Linked DNA regions of Schizosaccharomyces pombe. The gene in region 1 interacts genetically with each later gene. Each region holds a gene or a part of one and is shown on either strand. Other genes may lie near its edges. The genes, in order: psm1, sfr1, alp14 and wpl1.

Region 1 (6,920 bases):
TTACCTCTAATGGGCCGGAGGAACGATGGGTATTAGAAGCATTGACACTATCCTTGTCATCATCCTCATCATCCACAAAAGCATTATCACCATCCTCTACAATATCATCGGAATTATCTACCTCTTCATCTTCACTTTCTAAATCTTCTCCATCATCTTCCTCATCAGCTACCCATTCTGCTTCTGAATCATATGTGTAGTCTATGTCTTCATCTTCAAGCCAGGGATTCAATAAAACGTTAGAACCATGGGAATGGGTTTTCGTGTAAGATCCAAAATATGGAGGGCGAACATCCTGATAAAAGAAAATGAATTTAATAGGAATCTGTGATAAACAAGATAAAATTTCTTGAGGTTTTGAAACAGATGGATCTTGATATGCGCTCATTAATTGTCGAACCTCGTTTTCGGAATTTCTATTACTAACACCTAAACTGTTTGCGGAGCTTACAGCATCTGATGGTGTAAAAATGTCGTTTAGCTTTAAAGGATAAGATTTAGAGGTTGAGAGGACTTCATCCAAAAAAGAATCAGATTCGTTCGGAGATGGATATTTGGAAAGGGACATCTGATGCTTTATAAAAAAAGGGCGAAACTCTTTCTCAAACTCATTCAGTTCATCCGTTTTGTCAGCTACAAAATTTTCGTTTGGCGCGATTCGTTTCTCAACTCCTTTGGTGAAAAAGTTGTTTAACTTCAATTGTTGTCTTTCCTTATTAAGGATTTGTTCTTGACGAAGGCGCTGTGCTTCTTCTTTCTCACGAAGCTTTTGATCCCTCTCCTCCTTCCGCCTTTGTTGTTCCTGCAATCGAATCCGCTCCTTCTCTAATTTCTCTAATTCTTTCATTTTCTTAGCGGCGATTTTTTCCTGTTCTCTTAGCTTTTTCTCTTGCTCTCGTTGTTGACGTTCCTTTTCACGTTTTAAACGCTCTGCTTCTTTTTGTCGAATCCTTTCCTCTTGGGCCCGCTGTTTTTGAAGCTTCTTTTCTTTACCCGCTTCAGCAGAGCCATTATAAATTCTTTTCTTTCTATTACCCTCATAACTTAATTTGCAAACGTACTCATCAGCTTCACTTGCAGAGTGACTGGAATGAATAACCGATTCATTCGGGGAACTCACTGATAAAGACGTAATGTCAGTGGAAGAGCTACATAACTCATTTCCCTTATTACTAGTAGAGGCCGCGACATCTGAATCAACACTTTCACTATTCATAGACAATGCTGCGAATATCAATAACAAGCCTAAGGGAGGCTAAAAACCGTGCGTAAGTTGTTTTAACGGACGCTCTGATCGAATAAAGAGGATAAAGGAGAGTTCGTAAATTATATGTTAATATTCTATTATATACATCACTATCCCAAATCTGTCTCACCAATCTATTATTCATCCATCTTAACGCTTATATAATTGAATAATTTAATTCCTTAGTTCTAACAAGATATGTACTGATTGATCTGAGTAGCTTAAACATCAAAGTTTTTTGCGAATGGGTTAATATGGTGATTTGTTATATATTTTACCTGACTACGATTATATAATATTACTGCTACATTGCATTACGATATTAATGTTAATATTTTATGGCTCATCTATATTATGATTGAGTTAATATCAGTTGACGAGAATTTTCTTTGAAATTATTTGCCATATTTTTTAACTGGTGATTGGAGTACCACAAATTCATTAATAATGAAACAAACGGATGTTGTTATCATCAATTTTCTTCCTATTTATATGCAGCAAACTTCTTTCAATAACGATGCATCGTACATATATAGGCAGGGGCTATGCAGCTTAGAATAGTAATTCGCTGGAAGGATAATATCATAATAACGAGGTTCTTGTTACAGTGAATATCAAGTTGCACTATATATTATATCGTGGATTTCTGAAACTTTATGAGATGTAATCGTAATGAGTAGGTAACAATATCTAATCAAGTAAAGACGCGTACGCGAGTTTCATACACACCTTGTACATTCCTTTTACCAAGTTTTCCTAATGGGACGTTTACTAAGACTGGAAGTTGAAAACTTTAAGTCTTATCGAGGACATCAAATTATAGGTCCTTTTGAGGACTTTACCTCGATTATCGGTCCTAATGGAGCCGGAAAATCGAATTTAATGGATGCCATTTCTTTTGTTTTAGGGGTCAAGTCTTCTCATTTACGATCAACTAATGTTAAAGAACTGATCTATCGGGGGAAAATACTGCAAAGAGATAATACAGATTTCACTGATTCTAGTAATCCTACTACAGCATATGTGAAACTTATGTATGAGTTGGATAATGGGGAGCAAAGAGAGTATAAACGCGCAATCACTCCTTCTGGTGCTACTGAATACAAAATTGATGAAGAAATAGTTACGTTTTCTGAATACTGCGGATCTCTCCAAAAGGAGAATATTCTTGTTCGAGCTCGAAATTTCTTAGTTTTTCAAGGTGATGTTGAAACCATTGCTTCGCAATCTCCTTTAGAACTTTCAAAGCTTGTTGAACAAATAAGTGGCTCTCTGGAATATAAATCTGAGTACGATAAATCTAAAGACGAGCAGGACAAGGCTGTAAATTTATCTGCTCATTCGTTTAACAAGAAACGTGGTATCAACGCTGAGTTACGCCAATATCAAGAACAGAAAACTGAAGCCGAGCGTTATCAAAGTCAAAAAGAAAAACGAGACTCTGCGCAGTTAGTTTACCTTTTATGGAAACTCTTTCATCTAGAGAAAAGTATTAGTTCTAATATGGCAGAGGTTACTCGATTAAAGGCAGATTCCATTCAACTTATCGAAAGGCGAGATGAGAACACTAAAGAGATAGAAAAGTTGAAAGAAAAAGAGGGCAGTATACGAAGAAACCTTCTTGCATTCGATAGAAAAGTTCGAAAACAAGAAAAGTTGATTGCTTCGAAACGTCCAGAGCTCATTTCAATTGCCGAGAAAGCCCTAGAGTCTAAGTCAAATCTCCGAAAAATTCAAAGAAAAGCTGCGGAAATAGAAAAAGATTATTCTGACCAAGCTAGTACGTTACAAGTATTAGAAAATCAATTGACTTCACTCTCAGCTGCTGAAAAAGAGTTTTTAAAAGACATGCAGGAAAAAGAGCAACTCAAAGGGTTGCGATTGTTACCAGAGGATAAAGAGGAGTATGAAGGACTTCGAAGTGAGGCGGACAAATTAAACTCAAATCTATTGTTCAAATTGCAGACGTTAAATAGGAATATTAAAGTTACTTCTCAATCAAAGGATTCATTAACGAGCATCGTTGGAGACTTAGAGTCGAAGATTAAAAGCCTTCATGAAAGTGTTTCTTCTCTTGATACCGAGCGAGCGGATTTGCTTGCTAAAATAAATGAAAAGATTGAAAGTTTGGAACTTGAAAAGCATGATCAGCAGAAGAAGAGGTTGACTTATTCTGAGCTTTTTCATAAAACACAAGAATTAAATGAAGAGCTTCAATCTTGTTTACAGAAAATTTTAGAGGCAAGTGCCGACCGCAATGAATCCAAACAGGATGCTAAAAAAAGAGAAGCATTGTATGCTTTGAAAAGGATATATCCTGAAGTCAAAGGAAGAATCATTGACTTATGTACTCCTACTCAAAAGAAATATGAAAGCGCAATCGCTGCTGCTTTAGGCAAAAATTTTGACGCAATTGTCGTCGAAACGCAGGCAGTTGCTAAAGAGTGTATTGACTATATAAAAGAGCAACGCATAGGTATTATGACCTTTTTTCCAATGGACACCATAGCAGCCAGTCCCGTTAATCAAAAATTTCGTGGAACACACAAAGGCGCCCGACTTGCAATTGACGTTTTGAATTTTGAGTCTGAATATGAACGTGTAATGATTAGTGCAGTTGGAAATACACTCATTTGTGATTCAATGACTGTTGCTCGAGACCTTTCCTATAACAAACGTCTCAATGCCAAGACAGTTACTTTAGAGGGAACGGTTATACATAAAACAGGGTTGATTACTGGTGGATCTTCAAACAACCGGTCGGCGAAACACTGGGATGACCATGATTTTGATCTGCTTACTCAAACAAAAGATAGACTTATGCATCAAATTGGTGAAATAGAATATCAAAAGTCATCTTGTGTGATTACAGAAAGTGATACTGTCAAGTTGCATAGTCTTGAATCTGAGATATCTCTACTCAAAGACAAATATACAGTAGTTTCTAGATCCGTGGAAGACAAAAAAAAGGAAATTGGACATTACGAATCTTTAATCAAAGAAAAACAGCCTCACTTGTCAGAATTGGAAATGGAACTTCGCAACTTTGTTAAAAGTAGAGATGAGCTTCAAATTCAAGTAGAAAAGGTTGAGGAAAAGATATTCTCCGGGTTTTGCAAACGAATTGGGATAAGTGATATACATACTTACGATGAGATACATCGCACTTTTACTCAAAGTTTTACACAAAAACAACTCGAATTCACCAAGCAAAAATCATTACTTGAAAATCGTATTAGTTTTGAAAAACAACGTGTTTCAGATACCAGGTTACGATTAGAGCGTATGCATAAATTCATTGAAAAAGATCAGGAATCTATTGATAATTACGAGCAAAATCGGGAAGCACTTGAATCAGAAGTTGCAACTGCCGAGGCTGAGCTTGAATTATTAAAGGAGGATTTTGCAAGTGAGAACTCTAAAACTGAAAAAATTTTATTAGCTGCATCCGAGAAAAAGCTAGTGGGCAAACGATTAGTGTCTGAGTTAACAAAGTTATCAGGAAACATTACTCTTTTAGAATCGGAGATTGACCGCTATGTATCTGAATGGCACGCAATTTTACGAAAATGCAAACTAGAAGATATAGATGTTCCGTTACGCGAAGGATCTTTGACGAGCATACCTATAGATGATGTCTCAAACAGCGGTGATATCACCATGGGCGAAGAGCCGTCTGAACCAGTAATAAATTTTGAGAAATTTGGAGTAGAAGTGGATTACGATGAACTGGATGAAGAGTTACGCAATGACGGTTCTGAGAGTATGGCTTCTGTTCTTCAAGAAAAATTGAGAGAGTATTCGGAAGAGCTGGATCAGATGTCTCCTAATTTAAGGGCTATTGAGAGACTTGAAACAGTAGAAACTCGCTTGGCGAAGTTAGATGAAGAATTTGCTGCTGCTCGTAAAGCAGCCAAAAACGCAAAAGAACGCTTCAATGCCGTTAAGCAAAAGAGATTGCAAAAATTTCAAGCTGCCTTTTCGCATATCTCGGAACAAATCGATCCAATATATAAGGAACTTACCAAAAGTCCTGCTTTTCCTCTTGGTGGAACAGCGTATTTGACTTTGGATGACCTCGATGAGCCATATCTTGGAGGAATCAAGTTCCATGCAATGCCACCTATGAAGAGATTTAGAGATATGGATCAACTTTCTGGAGGAGAAAAGACCATGGCTGCTTTGGCTCTGCTATTTGCTATCCACTCTTATCAGCCATCCCCATTTTTTGTATTGGATGAAATTGATGCAGCTTTGGATCAAACCAACGTTACCAAGATTGCCAACTATATTAGACAGCATGCATCCAGCGGTTTTCAATTTGTTGTCATTTCCTTGAAAAATCAGTTGTTCAGTAAATCAGAAGCTTTAGTGGGTATTTATAGAGATCAACAGGAGAATTCTTCACGAACATTATCAATCAACGTAAGGGATTACTTTTTCTTAATTTTAAAATACTAACGAAAAACAGTTGGAAGGTTATGTGGAGTAAATGATAATATTAACCTGTGATATGCTGCTTAATGTCTGTGTTAATATATTCTAAGAATACTTTATGTTTAATAGGGATGGCAAATATATATTTGCGTAATTTATTTATTTCTAACGAATTTAATTTTAATTGTTTTAAGTTTCCTTCTATAATTGATCAAGGACTTTTTTAATTTACAACGCTTTTTCTTTATGTCCTTAATTGATTTTGTCTCTGAATTGACTGGGCTAATGATAGAAACATTAATTATAAGTCACAATTGTCAGCTACGTTTATGTTTAATCCCTAGTTTCAAGGAAGTTGGGTTTAAGTGAGGTTAATGTTTTCAATATAATTCCAGTAACGCAGTTACGCTTAGACGATTCGGCTCACCCCTTGACTGTTTGTTAACTAATGAATTTGGCTGCATACAATTTTGAGAAGTCTCTACTATTCTAGAAGGCTTTCTCCGGAAACTAACTATTGCATTTTCCTTTTTAGTTTAACAGTATTTGCAGTCACAAACTAGCAAGAATACTTTTAAGAATAAACGTTTTATTAGCGACGAATAGTTTAAAATATGTTTAAACCCAACTAGATGCTAACCGCACTACATTTTTAAAACCGCAGCTTATAGAACTTTAAAATATTAATTTTGCGCTTGAGTTTTCCTCATACAGCTAAATTCAATGATTTGGTAATGGTTGATTGATTCACCGTAGTCTTAGTTAACAATCACGATAGATTTCAAACAAAGAACTTTAAAGAAAAAAACTTACTTATAGTATTATCATGATTTTAATGATTTCGATTGAATAGATGTTTAGAAAAGAAGTACACCAGCATACTCAAACAATGATAGCCGGCTCCTTAAATTATTTCACACATAAACAATAACAAAGCCTTTTATATTTATCCTTTCTTAATGATAAAGTAAATTTTATACTTGTTCGTTTTGGGCCTATCGACTGCAAGAATATATTTGTTGATCAGATACACAACACACTTCCAAGGGTACTACGTTAAAACTGTTACAGAACCAACATCTCGATAACGCACCTGCATTCTTTTGGTGCTTGACGAATGCTTTAAACATGGGAATTAAAGGTCTTTTGGGACTTTTGAAGCCTATGCAGAAAAGCTCTCATGTCGAGGAGTTTTCTGGCAAGACTTTGGGAGTTGATGGATATGTTTGGTTGCACA
Region 2 (3,867 bases), 960 kb from region 1:
AAGACTGATAATTTCTTCCAAATGATGAATATTATAGTTGGAAACTCCAATTTTGTTTATCCTTCCTTCTTTTTGATGCTGCAATAGTGCTCGCCAAGACTCAATACGGCGTACGGGCCACTTTGGTGAATGTATTAGCACGACGTCTAACTTTGGACGACCTGTTCTGCGAAGAGACTGTTCGACCGCTTTCCAGGTACGTTCAAATCCTTGTAAGGAGTCAGGAATCTTAGTTATTAAGGTGATATCTTCACGTTTAATATTCACATTTTGATGGCAGAAATCTTGAATGGCTTGTTCACATTCTTTTTCATTTCGATATGTAATTGCTGAATCAATTACGCGAATACCAAGCGAGAGTGCCTCAATTACTTGCTGGTAGCAATCCTTAAGTTGATATACACCAAAGCAAAGTTGTTCCTTTTCAAAATTGGTTTGAGAAGGAGAAAATGGTTTCATTAACGTAAGTTGAGGTAGATGAGAGAGCTCAATGTATAGACAAAAATATTTTCTAAATCCCTAAACCTTTAAGTAGGAGATTAAAGGAAATTTTTTATATATTTAGGATAATTGTAAAGAATTATTCAATGGTTATATAGCTAGGCCAGACAAGTTCATCCTCAATAATACGTTTAACTTTTTCCGATACAAATTTCTCGACTTTAGCAACATTTTTTAGCAGCTGTTTATTAGATTCTCCAATAATACTTTCCACTGTTAAATCTCGAATAACACTTGATGCATGCTCTCCAGTTCCGTGCAGCAATGTATCAACGAAGCATAGATGCGTCCGCTTTCCCATTTTAGCCAAAACAGCAATGGCATCGATGGAAATCCTAATAAATGAAAGTTTGAATGGAAGAACTGCAAATTCAGAGTTCGGGTAATTCATCGATAGAACCGCTTCCAGGCTTAGATTTGCGTCTCCGTCATAAGATACGTGTGCAGTAACTTGGAAATCGTTAGAACGATCTCTTTCTTGATGATTATCCATTGGAGTACTTGGGCGACTTTCAGGAATTGGGCTTGTGAGTCCACTTGCAGATAGAATCCCGGGTGAATTAAATGCGGGATTAAAATATGCTAGTCTTGAAAATGGATGTTCAGCAGCGTAAGGTGGAAGATCCGTAAGCACTGGTGAAACATTATTGCGGGAGCATTGATCACCCTCTAGTTCTTGGTTAGCTAATTCGAAAGCTTCATTTTCATAAAATTGGGGATCAGGATCGCCGATTTCTTGAATAGTAATCTGAGGTGAGACTTTGCCGAAATGGAAGTCAACAACCTTTAAATGCTTTATATAAGATGGTAGCGACAAATTCGAAACTTGTCCTTCGAGAAGATGTAAAACTTTTGCTTCTAATTCTGAGTCTAACTTTGACCAATCAAAGTCAATAGACATTGTTCTGCAATTGTAAAAAAAAAATACGAACTCTTGAATCTCTCAATGACGATTGTAGCAAGTTTTCAAAATTTAAGTAATTTCTTCGTCAACTTGGTTAATGAAATAATATTTAAACCGGTTCTCTAAATTTTATACGAAGACGGCATGAATTTGATACTTTAAACAAAATCCTCCAGCAATTTTAATGTCCTTTCCTTCAATGTTCTTTTTTACTCATCGAGAATTGCAAGTGAATTTTTAAGATATCTATTTATCTTAAATATTACCTTCTGTAGGTACCAAAATCTTTTCTCCTAGTATTGTCAGTAGAGTTAGGTGGTATTCCCAGATTACCTTCTAACAAAGCCTACGCGGTTTAAAAAAGGTTAAAAAACAAATTTGTAAATTAATAAACCTTTTAGTTTATTACTATCGTAATTTGTATAAACATTTAATTTTTTGGAACCACCAGTCATGTGCTTCAGTCTTCTTCTACCTAAGTTCTTGTTGCTTGCTGTTATTTTCACCTTCTGCTAGTAAAACGTTTTCAACGTTTATCTGGAATTTGTGGTATTTCTTCATTTCTATAACAATTAATATTCAATTCATTTAATTATTTGAAGTTAGAGTTTAAACATTCAACTATTACACTCAACGCGTTTGTTGACAAAAGTTACGCGCTTCATTGCATCTTTGTTATAATTTAACATTCACTCTTTCATCTTCGAATTAGTACTTTAAAACGATTTAACTGAAAATGTCGCAAACAATTAACTCTGAACTCAATGAAAATGCTACTTCACAGTGTAAAGAAGATTTGAAAGTTTCCCTAAGCGAAAGTGATTTACGTGACTCACAGGGTCAGTTAGGAATAGAAAACCCTCCTAAATGCAATAACAGTGGCAATCACTCAGATAACCTAGGTTTTATCGAGCAGTCAGAAACAGTACATCCAGAGAATGAGAAGGCTTTGACGCCGGACCTGCGAGATACAAAAATACATACTTCTTTACCAATTACTACACCTTTTTCAAAGAAAAGGGCTCGAGAAGCCAAAAATATACTTCTTAAGCCGTTCAAAAGCCCCTTAAGACAAACTGCCAGTCCTCAAGTTGCAGACACTAATCTAAAACCATCGTTAGCTGTAACAAATCTTAACTCTGATGAAACAAACACTTCTTCAGAACCTGTTACTTCTCCCTTAAGAACAACGCCTAATTCAATAAAACGGCAAAAACGACTTTTCAAGTCACCTATCTCTAATTGCCTTAATCCAAAGTCCGACCCTGAAATCACACAGTTGCTTTCTCGTCGTTTAAAACTTGAAAAAGAAGTCAGAAATTTACAAGAGCAGCTCATAACCGCCGAAACTGCACGAAAGGTTGAAGCCAAAAATGAAGATAAAGACTTGCAAACGTTGATACAGAAATGGAAAAATGCTGCTCAGCAAGCCGCTGAAGTACTTTTTAAACCAATGGCTGAACGTATTCGTTTGGCTGGAGGTGTTACTCAGTCCTTTCGTATTGAAGAAGGTGAAAATAAAGGGCAAATTCAGGAAGTACGAACTGAATTTACAATGAGTATGTTTCTAAATCAGTTTGGTGTTCCTGTTCATTTGATGTCTTTTGATGAAGAAAATGGTGATTGGAAATCGTAAAGGACTCCTTACTATTGTTAAAAAAATTTTCGTTCGTACTAGTTAGAAAACCTTTAGTACGAACTTAAATATGTTTAGCTAGCTTACACCAAAATCAAGGGTATACTAATTGAACGTACAGAGGTACCTTAATCGTTTACATACAAATTGCGCCGAGCTGGTATCGAAATTCTTTACATGTAACAATGAATCGTTCCAGGCTGAGTTTATGACTTTAATTTATATAATTATTAGCATTATACAATAACATGTCTCATTAATTTGAAATTTCTTGATTTTGAACCTTCTGGTTCTAAATTTTTTCTGGAGATATTTAACATTCAAACAACAAAAGTCGATTAATTGGCTGACAGACAACAAATATAGATCAACCAATTGAAAGATGAAAAACAAAATTTATTCAAAGCATGATTTAATCACCGACGAACCCTAACATACATATATTTTTTATTCTGCATCCATCGAGCAACAAAATTTTAAATTAGAACGCAAAAAAATCGAAGATACAATTTTTATTAAGCGCGGTTTTGTCTACGGATGATTCGCTCACGTCGTTCTTGAAGTCGATGCTGTTGATGGCGTCTCATTAAAACCAGTCCGACAACTACCACAATAAGCGTGACACACGCAGTCTCCAAAAACCTTCCATCAATGTAATCATAAGTGAAACGAATATCATTATAGGATTCACCCATCTCTTCAGTATTAGGCGAGGGCAAGGACTCAGACGTTTCTTGAGGGTCAGGTTGTTGTGGTGTACGATCTACTTGTAGTGTTGGTGGTTCTGGGGGAAGTTGTGAGTCCGGACCTGCCGGGCTTAGTATGT
Region 3 (4,943 bases), on another chromosome or scaffold:
TACCAATATTGGGGAGGAAAGCTTACCTGATGCTGCAAATGTTCCTTTACTAGGTCTTTCTAATAAAGCTACCACTGCATCTGAAACTGGTACGGTAAATGCAGAAGAAGTTCAGACTCCTGTTGCTGATGTGATTGGTTCTTTGAACCATCCTCCTTTTGAAGAACACTTACAGCGTTTGCTATTGTTTCCGGAAGTTGAAAAATTATTCGGCCATGGTTATGAGGTTTATGCATGCGCCATATCTAATAATGGTAATATTGCCGCGACTTCTTGTAAATCACAAACCCCCGAACATGCTGTCATTCGGTTATACGAAACGCAGTCATGGAATCAGCAGCAAGTCCTTAAAGGTCATTCTTTGACGGTTACAACTATAAAGTTTTCACCTGATGACCGATACATTTTAAGTGCTGGGCGGGATCGGTTGGTGTGTTTGCATGAGCAAGCCGAAAATTTATTGGATTATAATAACTTTGCTTCTATAAAAGCGCATTCTCGTATTATTTGGGATGCTAGTTGGGCTCCCAAAGAAATGGGTTACTTTTTTGCGACTGCTTCGCGTGATAAATTCGTGAGTAATTTTTTATTTGATCAAATCTTGCTAACTATTTAGGTTAAATTTTGGAAAATCAATGACAATAAAAAAATATGTGATGTTGCTGCTCTCCAATTTTCTGATGCTGTTACCGCTGTTGACTTTGCTCCGTTCTTTCACAACGATGAACTCTTGCTTGCGGTAGGAACTGAAGCTGGTAAAATATTTATTTGGAGATGCCCGAGAGAGAATCTTACCAAATGGTACCCAACACGTTTACCAGACCACATGGCTCCTATGGAGTCAATTAACCAAATTTTATGGAAGCCCACTTTTGAAACTATGGGGTTGTATTCTCTTTTAATTGCTGGCGAAGATACCAGTGTACGACTTTTGAACGTTACGTTGGGATAAACTTGAAAATAAGTACAATTGGTAATGTTAGATTGGGTTGGCCTGTTTTAAACATACCTGAGGGGTGGTTAAAAATGCTTAGATAAATTATTTATTGTTATAATTGTCGATAAATAAAAGGAAGGTTAATGGGTTGTTAGGTTGGCATAATTAGTGCTGAATGGTAGACATTCATCAGATTGATTCATTACTTTAGTTGTTATATATATATATAAATATGTATTTTTAATTATTAGTATCAAAAACTTTGGTGTAGTAGTCTTCTCAATTAACTCAAACACAATTTTACATGTTAGAGAAAAAAACAACACATAAAAATTTTTTTTAAAAATAAATTATATTTAAAAGGTAGATAAGGCAAGATTTTAACTAAGAAGTATTTTCAAGCGTAATAGAATGCAAGTTGTAAATCTAACTAAGAACATTGATTACTTCTACGAAATTTAGTTTATTTTTTTTCCCTTTCTATTACTCGTTTACATTTATTGAAAGAACGGAGCAAGCTAGGAAGTAATTTATATTCAACTGAATGACTGCATTTTCGGTAGTGTCCAAAAGTAACACTTACCAACTCCAAACATCTATTTTGCAAACCTAAGTCTTAATAAAGATACTTTTTATTAAAGGCTATATTTTCTCAGGTTTGAATTTGTTGACTCAACGAGTTAATACTTATATACTCCGGCCTTGCTAAATCGATATTCTGTAAAGTTTGACAGTGTTGTATTTGCCTACAGGCTTAACGAGTAATTACTTATTATTTATTCAAAAAAGGGAGAAAAGGTACTAAGTACAACTTTTGAGTTTTAGAATTGGAGTTTTGGGAGAGCATTTGCTGTTTATTTATCTTATACGCTCCTTTAATTTTTGGCACCCCGGAGGAACATGAGCCAAGATCAAGAAGAAGACTACTCCAAACTTCCTCTAGAATCAAGAATAGTACATAAAGTATGGAAAGTGCGTCTATCTGCTTATGAAGAGTGCAGCAAATCGTTTTCACTTTCAGCAGATGGTTCGGATAATTGCTTTGAGCTTTGGAATAATCAGAGTGAATTGTGGAAATCAGTGCTGACTGATAGCAACGTAGCAGCTCAAGAAGCTGGTACCGCAGCGTTTGTAGCTTATTGCAGGTTTTCCGATCCTTCTCATTTACTTAAAGCTCGTGAAATATCAGTCCTTTCAATTTCAGAGAAATGCTTAACATCACCTCGCGCAGGTACAAGGGAAAATGCACTAGAAGCTCTTATGCTATTAGTTGAAGCAGATTCAGCTGCGCCAGTTATAGAATCAATCATTCCTTCTTTATCGGCTCGATCCCCGAAGGTAATAGCTTCTAATGTCGCTGCCATTGCTAGTCTAGTTGAGCAGTTTGGTGCTAAAGTTATTCCTTCAAAAATGATTATTCCACATATCTCCAACTTGTTTGGTCATGCTGATAAAAATGTTCGTAAGGAAGCATCTCGTTTAACTGTAAACATTTATCGGTGGACAGGGGATCCTTTAAAAGATTTACTATTTAAAGATCTAAGACCAGTTCAGACGAAAGAGCTTGAGTCTCTTTTTGCTGAGCTACCAACAGAGCCTCCCAAACAAACTCGTTTTTTGAAAAGTCAGCAACCTACATCAGAGCCGAATGTTGAAACACAGGTAGAAGAGCAACCTGCTCTCGAGAATGAAGAAAGTGAACCAGAACCGTCAGATGATCAATTTGATTTGGTAGAAGAAGTGGACGTTTTACCCAATGTGGATCCTAACCTGGAAACTTTAATGGCTTCTTCGAAATGGAAGGATCGTAAGGAAGCGTTAGACAAACTACTTCCTGTCTTATCTCAACCAAAGATCAAAGACAACGATTTTTTTAATTTAGTTGCTATTCTCACAAAGTCTGTTTCAAAAGACGCAAATATCATGGTGGTTATAAATGCTGCACACTGTATACAAGCGATGGCTAAAGGTTTACGCTCAAATTTTTCGAAGTATGCCTCAACATCTATTAATGCACTGTTGGAACGATCCAAAGAGAAAAAGGCTAATGTAATCGAATCACTATCTTCTGCGATGGATGCTGTTTTGGCTACATCCAGTTTGGATGACTTAGCCGAGCTCATTGCTAGCTTTGCCGGGAACAAAAATCCTCAAATCAAAAGCTCCTGCTTTAGTTTGTTCTCGAGATCTTTCAGTAATATGACATCCTTACCATCTAAGTTTACAGTTGATACCTGTGCTAAAGCATGCGTTCCTGGTGTTTCTGATACCTTTGAGCCGGTGCGTAGTGCGGCAGCAGAAGCCTTGGGTGTTTTGATGAAACTCGTTGGTGAAAGAGCCATTAATCAGTATTTAAGTCCGTTGGACGACATCAGGAAATCTAAAATTCGTTCTTTTTATGAAACAGCTACAGTAAAGGCTAAGGCACCTACAAAAAAGTCGAAAGTTAAACCTTCAAAACAAGAAGAATCAAAAGTCGTCGTACCTTCAAATGCTAAGGCTGTCAAGAAATCCGTTGTTCCTTCTAGTCCAGTTGTACCATCTCCACGAAAGGCAACTAACAAATCGCTTTCCATGGATGTATCAAAGGGTAATGCATTTGAGAATGGTCCTTTGTTACCAAGACCGACTACGAGGCCAGTTTCTCGAGGGCTTTCACGAGGCACATCTTCCAGTTTGCAACAAAAAGTAAAAGCTTCCACTCCTTTGAATTCGGGAGCACTTAACGAAACGGTGCAAAATTTGAAGAACATGGAGTTGGACGATCCGGCTCCTCAACCGGCTAAGCATTCACGAGTTGATCGTTATGAACACCCTAAAGTATTAGAAGACAATGACTCTACCATTTCGTCTTTAGAATCTCTGAAGAGAGAAAACGAGGAGTTACGAGAGCAGTTGAAAGTTGAACATGAAGAGAATATTTCTATGCAAAAACAACTCAGTGAATTGAAAGGTGAATTAAATACCTTACGCAGTGCCAGGAAAGCCTCACCAATAGGAGACAGAAAACCTGCATTTATGCGAAGAGCTAATACTGACTTTTTAGAGCTCTCTACGAGTCCCTCATTTCAACGTTCAGTGAGGGAATTTGAACCTACTAGACCTAAACTTTATAGCTCTATAGATGTGAATCAGAGATCCCCTTTAGCATCTGCGAAAACAAATGGTAATTTCACGTTTCATGCTGAATTACCAAGATCACCGTTTTCGTCAAGGGCCAATAATATCAATCCTGATTGGACTAAAGCCATTGATTTAGCTGCCAAACTAAAACAAAAAATTACTGAGATGAAACAAACAGACCAAAGACATCAGGGATTGATTCACTAGTTTTTAAATTCTTTCGTTTACATTCCAATGTCCCTTACTTCCCTTTCTATTTTTTAATGTTTTAGAATAATGATAATATCGGTTTACAAAAATAATAACAAAATACGTATTCTCGTTTATACCAAATTTCTTAAAATCAGATTTAACTATAGGTTAAAGATGGAGTCAAATGGTAACTCAAACACACAACACAAACAAACATATAAAATAAATAAAAGAATTTTAACGTACGAATTTATCGCATTAAACGTATTAGTGTCATTAAAAAAAGTAGTCTGTTTAATTTTGCATCACAAGTATACTGTATAGCCGTACCAAGTATAAACGAAAACCTCTTTTTAAAAAAATTAAACATAATAAAGAAATTGTTAGAAGAAAAAAAATAAAGATATGCGTAAAGTACAGACAGTCGAAAAAAGAGTAACAATCACATGAGTCTTTGCCCAATGAAAAGTTCTAAGCTTTGTTCAAAAAGTCCGGAGGACTGATGTTGCTAAAGTAGTCCAAAGAAGCGGTGGAAGGAGTATCGGCATCACCATCATCGTCCTCCAGGTAGAAATAAGAATCACGATAAGGGGAATAAGGCGGTAAATGGGACAATTCCGACTCTAATTTCCTATGAAACAGATATATAGGAAGCTTAAAATCCAAGGAATCTAGCCACTCATTTAGTTTT
Region 4 (4,301 bases), 2.1 Mb from region 1:
GAACAACTAGGTTGTTTTTAAATTCTTCAGCTTTTTTTGCTTCCATTGCTTTTTGCTTTTTACGCACGCGATCGAACAGAGAAGATTGTCTCAAAGTTAACTGAGATGATGTTAGCTTACGCGATGAATTTTGAACAGATGAAGAACTTTGATGGGATTTCAAATTGATTTTTGAATTCACTGACTTTGACAAAGTGGACGAACTGTCAAGCATGCTACACGAGACTAACTCATTAGCATATTTTGCCGTGTTAGTAGTGAATTTTGGTTCTAGAGTTTGTGTGGGAATACGTAACTCGCGACTTGTTGATTTCTCCAAATTGAGCTTTCGAACTAGTGAACTTTCATTAACAGTATTCTTGGATAGACTGGGTAAAGCTTGTAACTGTTGAGCAGGAATCTCAGTTTCAGAACAATGCTCTAACAACCATTTTTCTAGTCTCCGTTTAAATTCAATGGAGCGGGAGAAGGCTTCAGGAAGATTCGCATTGCGAGGGTATGACAGTTCATATGTTGCAACACGCTTTCCTTGATGAATAGTAAAACATGGGGTAATAGCAAATGACTCTGGCCATACGGTTAAAATCTGAGCGAGATGAGTTATTTTTAAGGAGATTTTGGTGAGACCAGAGACTTTATTTTCTAACAGCACAAAGGTTGGTTTGGTATTGATGGAGAGGTGAAATTTTACACATATGTCGACTGCATTAAAGACCTTTTCTAAGAAAAGAACTGATTCATTTTTAACTGGGGGTAAAACCTCATTTTGTTCTAAAGACTCAGTGTCCAAGTTCTCTTTCAGCCTTTTAACAGCTGGTATTATTTGAGAATCCTCAGGATTTTTGGGTGGCTCAATAATGGCCGCATTCGACCTTTTTGATGAGGATCGAGTTTTACGGACAGAGAAGTTCAATTTTGTTTGCGATCCAGCGCTCATGATTTGAACACAAAATCCAAAAATAAGGATATTGTTGTCGTGACTATATAGGGCGCGACATTTCATTTATATCGAGGGTTATATTAAATTTGAGCGTGTCGCGTTTGTTGACGCGTCGCGTAGCTATCGTGTCGCGCTTGCTAACTAGTTCACATTTGTCCGACTAATCAGTTTATGTCTTACTTAGCCTATATGATTCAGTAGATTATATTGAATAAATAAGTTCCAACACTTGTACAAAATTCACAAAACAATTTTTTAACTACAGCTTTTCATTTTCCGAAGTTTTTATAGAATCTCTTATACGAGTTTAAAATTATTACAGGATGCATCGTTATATAAATTTTGAATAACTCCTTTGCTCTGCGAGATATTATTGAGTTGTTCGTTGTCGAAATTTTCAATAATATGTTACATGTCACAATGATTTCTGTATAATAAAGGTGTTGCACCAAGTTCAGGCTCTCTGAAAACAAACTTGTGTCAAATAGCCACTCGTCCACTTATGGTCTTCCATAAGTTGTACGAATTCAAAACTTTTAGTTAACTTTTTTACTATCAGTGGATAAGTTGCTATAATAAATGAATAAAAAGATGCCCTGTATGATTTCTATCGACTAAGTCTTTTCTATTTATACTGGGTAGAGTAACAATGTGACTCAAATATCTATAAGGACCGATTGAAATCAACCAAGTACAAATAGAAAAACGATTCTAAAATTACTGAGTATAAAAAACGAATTTCTCATCAAGGACCCTATTTTCTTTTTTCTTTGCTCAAGAAGTTATTAAGCTCTATTTTCGAAGGTTTTCACTCACTCGACAAGCTACATTGTGAGTTGGTACGACCGTGTTCCTCCATTTTTGTAAAGAATCGATGTCAAGCCAGGCGGATTGAAGAAACCTTGAAATGAAAAGAGGAAAATGTAAGGAAAAAGATAATGGTTTGAAGAGAATTTCTTCGGAATCGGAAGTTTGGAACTTTTTAGACGTGACAGTTTCAGAGTTAAACAAGCAAAAGCGCTCGCCAGGACAGACCGTGTCTAAACGACTGCATAAAAAGCAAAGGGTCGTTAGTAATCCTGATTTGAGTTTACCGTCTTCACCGGTAAAACAAATTTTAAGAAATGGACTTCAGAATTCAAAGTACGGTTCTCATAAGACAGGACTGGAAAGGTCCGCGAGCTGTAGTAGTATTGATGCTTCCGCAAACCATTCTTCCACTACCTATCGGGAACAAAGATCGTATTTGATGGAGGAAGGATTAGATACTCAGCCAATTGTACCCCGTGAAGTATCCTCTGGTCGAGAATTGGATTCAACCAACCATACTATTGGTACAGAACGTGCTTTTTTGATAGAGGAAGACGTATCAGAAGATGATGAAATTCAAATGAAAAGTATACATGAACTTCGCTTTGCTGGAGAGCAGCAAAGGATCGTTGATGAAATTGAATACTTAGTGGACGGAGTGACTTTCTCAGGTAACTCTTCTGCTTCTCGCTATTTGAGTTTAATAGGAATCGCTGAAAAAATGTTTGACAATTCATTTCGTTTATGCTTAAAGTCGATACGGGATGTCTTCTTGCGAATATTTGAAGAAATTGATCCTAAAGATACTTTACACACTTTTTTGCAGATTTATATATTTGCAACTATGGCTAATGAAATGGATTGCATGAGTTCCTTGCTTGATGCTTACTCAAACAATGTTAAACTTCTTTTGCAAACGGCTATTACTTTAGAACCGCAGGTACCGGTTTCAATTTTGGCAAAAAGCTTACCAAAAAGTGTAAAGGGAGCCGTTCAAGAATTCGTTATAAAGGCAGAGCTTACTTTTAGTTTTAGCAATGAGTCTCTTGCTTCTTCTGATTCTATCAGTCTTGCAGCTATCGCTCTTATGAAGACGTCCTCGGGAGTTTTTGCGGAAAGCGAGTTGTTTACCGAATTAATCAATCTTTTAATAGAAAAATCCTACCCCATCTTGAAGGAAAACGATGGAAGCAATAACTTCTTACTTCATGCACTTTGTAGTTCTTTAGAAAAATTTACGGATTTCCAGGGATCAGAAAAGATTCAGAAGGTTTCACAGATCTTATCCTCAAAGTTACAAATTTTAATTGATGAACACAATGAAACAAATTCACCAAAAATTGACGATACAGTTGTCCATGCATGCAGTGAAAAATTGTTGCGTACTTTGATTCAAACAGTTAATTCTAACAGTGATCATGCGTTAGCGGTTTCTAAATCAGAAGTCCCATTGTTTGCTTATAAAATTTTACAAAAGTTTTCTAATTTTTCGTCCGATGATGAAACTACACGAGAACTAATTATCTTAATCCTTGGTCTTTTACTAGGGCTAGTTGAGGAATCTCATGAGTTTATTCAAACTATCACTCATGTTGAAGGTAAGTTCCTTTTATTAATATTTTTACTAATTCTATTTAGTTTCTTTCGGAGCTTCAGCACTCGATGTCCTCATTTCGTTTTATCAAAAGAACGTAAGTTGTACTACTTCTGTTGTAAGACATTTCTAACAAATGTAGGAAAGTATCGTAGAAATTAGTGGATATGTCGTAATGATTTTAAGCCATTGCTTTTTAAATGATCCCAAAGCGTTTGCCCAACTCAAGCCTTTGATATCTCAGTTTTACGAATCTCTACATAAATTTAAAAATTTTCATTTGAAATTGAAAGAGGAATTAATGATGATGGGTTCTAATGGACTAGCCATTGTTTCTATAATTGATGAACTACATAAATCGTTGCAAGACTACTTGCGCAGTGACTTGGTAAAATGACCTTTGCGGCGCGCTGGGAACGTGACATCCACAACATCGTTGCTTTCACTCACTTTTTTTTACGATCACTCTATAGTTAATAATTTGCCTTTTTAAATATTATAATCTTGAAATTTTCTAATTTAAACAATGGCTCCTATTAAATCTCGTAGAATTGCTGTTCTTGGCAGTCGTTCTGTTGGAAAGTCCAGGTAAGCGTTTGATTGAAGTTTATGCGCAAATAGGTTTACTAACCATTTTTTTTAAATAGTTTAACGGTGCAATATGTTGAAAACCATTTCGTTGAATCGTATTATCCAACTATTGAAAATACATTCAGCAAGAACATCAAGTATAAGGGTCAAGAATTTGCTACTGAAATTATCGATACGGCTGGTCAAGATGAATACAGTATCTTAAATTCTAAGCATTCCATTGGAATCCATGGCTATGTACTCGTTTACAGCATTACTAGCAAATCTTCTTTTGAGATGGTTAAAATAGTTCGTGACAAGATATTGAATCACACTGTATGTCAAATTATTAGAATTTTTAAATTTTTTACTAACCTACTTGCTATT

Evidence for each region.
Region 2: mutations in psm1 (region 1) and sfr1 impair growth when combined (synthetic growth defect), as found in Schizosaccharomyces pombe (one study listed by BioGRID).
Region 3: of psm1 (region 1) and alp14, extra expression of one rescues a mutant of the other (dosage rescue), as found in Schizosaccharomyces pombe (one study listed by BioGRID).
Region 4: of psm1 (region 1) and wpl1, a mutation in one rescues a mutant of the other (synthetic rescue), as found in Schizosaccharomyces pombe (one study listed by BioGRID).

The regions. Positions count from the first base shown.
Region 1 is NC_003423.3:2,538,738-2,545,657, forward strand, and holds psm1 (mitotic/meiotic cohesin complex ATPase subunit Psm1/Smc1), read left to right. Parts: upstream 1-1,978; 5' UTR 1,979-2,005; coding exon 2,006-5,671; exon of another isoform or gene 5,672-5,717; coding exon 5,718-5,738; 3' UTR 5,739-6,420; downstream 6,421-6,920. Other genes in the region: histone H3-H4 chaperone, CAF assembly factor (CAF-1) complex subunit A Pcf1, read right to left, coding at 1-1,216; exonuclease I Exo1, read left to right, coding at 6,812-6,920. UniProt on the Schizosaccharomyces pombe protein: Involved in chromosome cohesion during cell cycle and in DNA repair. Central component of cohesin complex. The cohesin complex is required for the cohesion of sister chromatids after DNA replication.
Region 2 is NC_003423.3:1,578,547-1,582,413, forward strand, and holds sfr1 (DNA recombination mediator Sfr1), read left to right. Parts: upstream 1-1,909; 5' UTR 1,910-2,141; coding exon 2,142-3,041; 3' UTR 3,042-3,334; downstream 3,335-3,867. Other genes in the region: SPOM_SPBC28F2.05C (xylose and arabinose reductase), read right to left, coding at 1-459; ERMES complex subunit, membrane tether and lipid transfer protein Mdm12, read right to left, coding at 581-1,402; hrd3 (HRD ubiquitin ligase complex subunit), read right to left, coding at 3,557-3,867. UniProt on the Schizosaccharomyces pombe protein: Involved in DNA recombination repair and meiotic chromosome segregation.
Region 3 is NC_003421.2:1,009,925-1,014,867, forward strand, and holds alp14 (microtubule polymerase alp14), read left to right. Parts: upstream 1-1,518; 5' UTR 1,519-1,837; coding exon 1,838-4,267; 3' UTR 4,268-4,390; downstream 4,391-4,943. Other genes in the region: elongator complex subunit Elp2, read left to right, coding at 1-574, 617-952; SPOM_SPCC895.08C (uncharacterized protein), read right to left, coding at 4,724-4,943. UniProt on the Schizosaccharomyces pombe protein: Required for bipolar spindle formation and proper chromosome segregation. Has a role in connecting the kinetochores and the plus end of pole to chromosome microtubules. Also required for the activation of the spindle checkpoint pathway.
Region 4 is NC_003423.3:474,067-478,367, reverse strand, and holds wpl1 (WAPL family protein), read left to right. Parts: upstream 1-1,639; 5' UTR 1,640-1,847; coding exon 1,848-3,348; intron 3,349-3,357; exon of another isoform or gene 3,358-3,388; coding exon 3,389-3,441; exon of another isoform or gene 3,442-3,486; coding exon 3,487-3,741; 3' UTR 3,742-3,794; downstream 3,795-4,301. Other genes in the region: DNA replication licensing factor Cdt1, read right to left, coding at 1-937; Rheb GTPase Rhb1, read left to right, coding at 3,871-3,932, 3,992-4,250. UniProt on the Schizosaccharomyces pombe protein: Regulator of sister chromatid cohesion in mitosis which negatively regulates cohesin association with chromatin.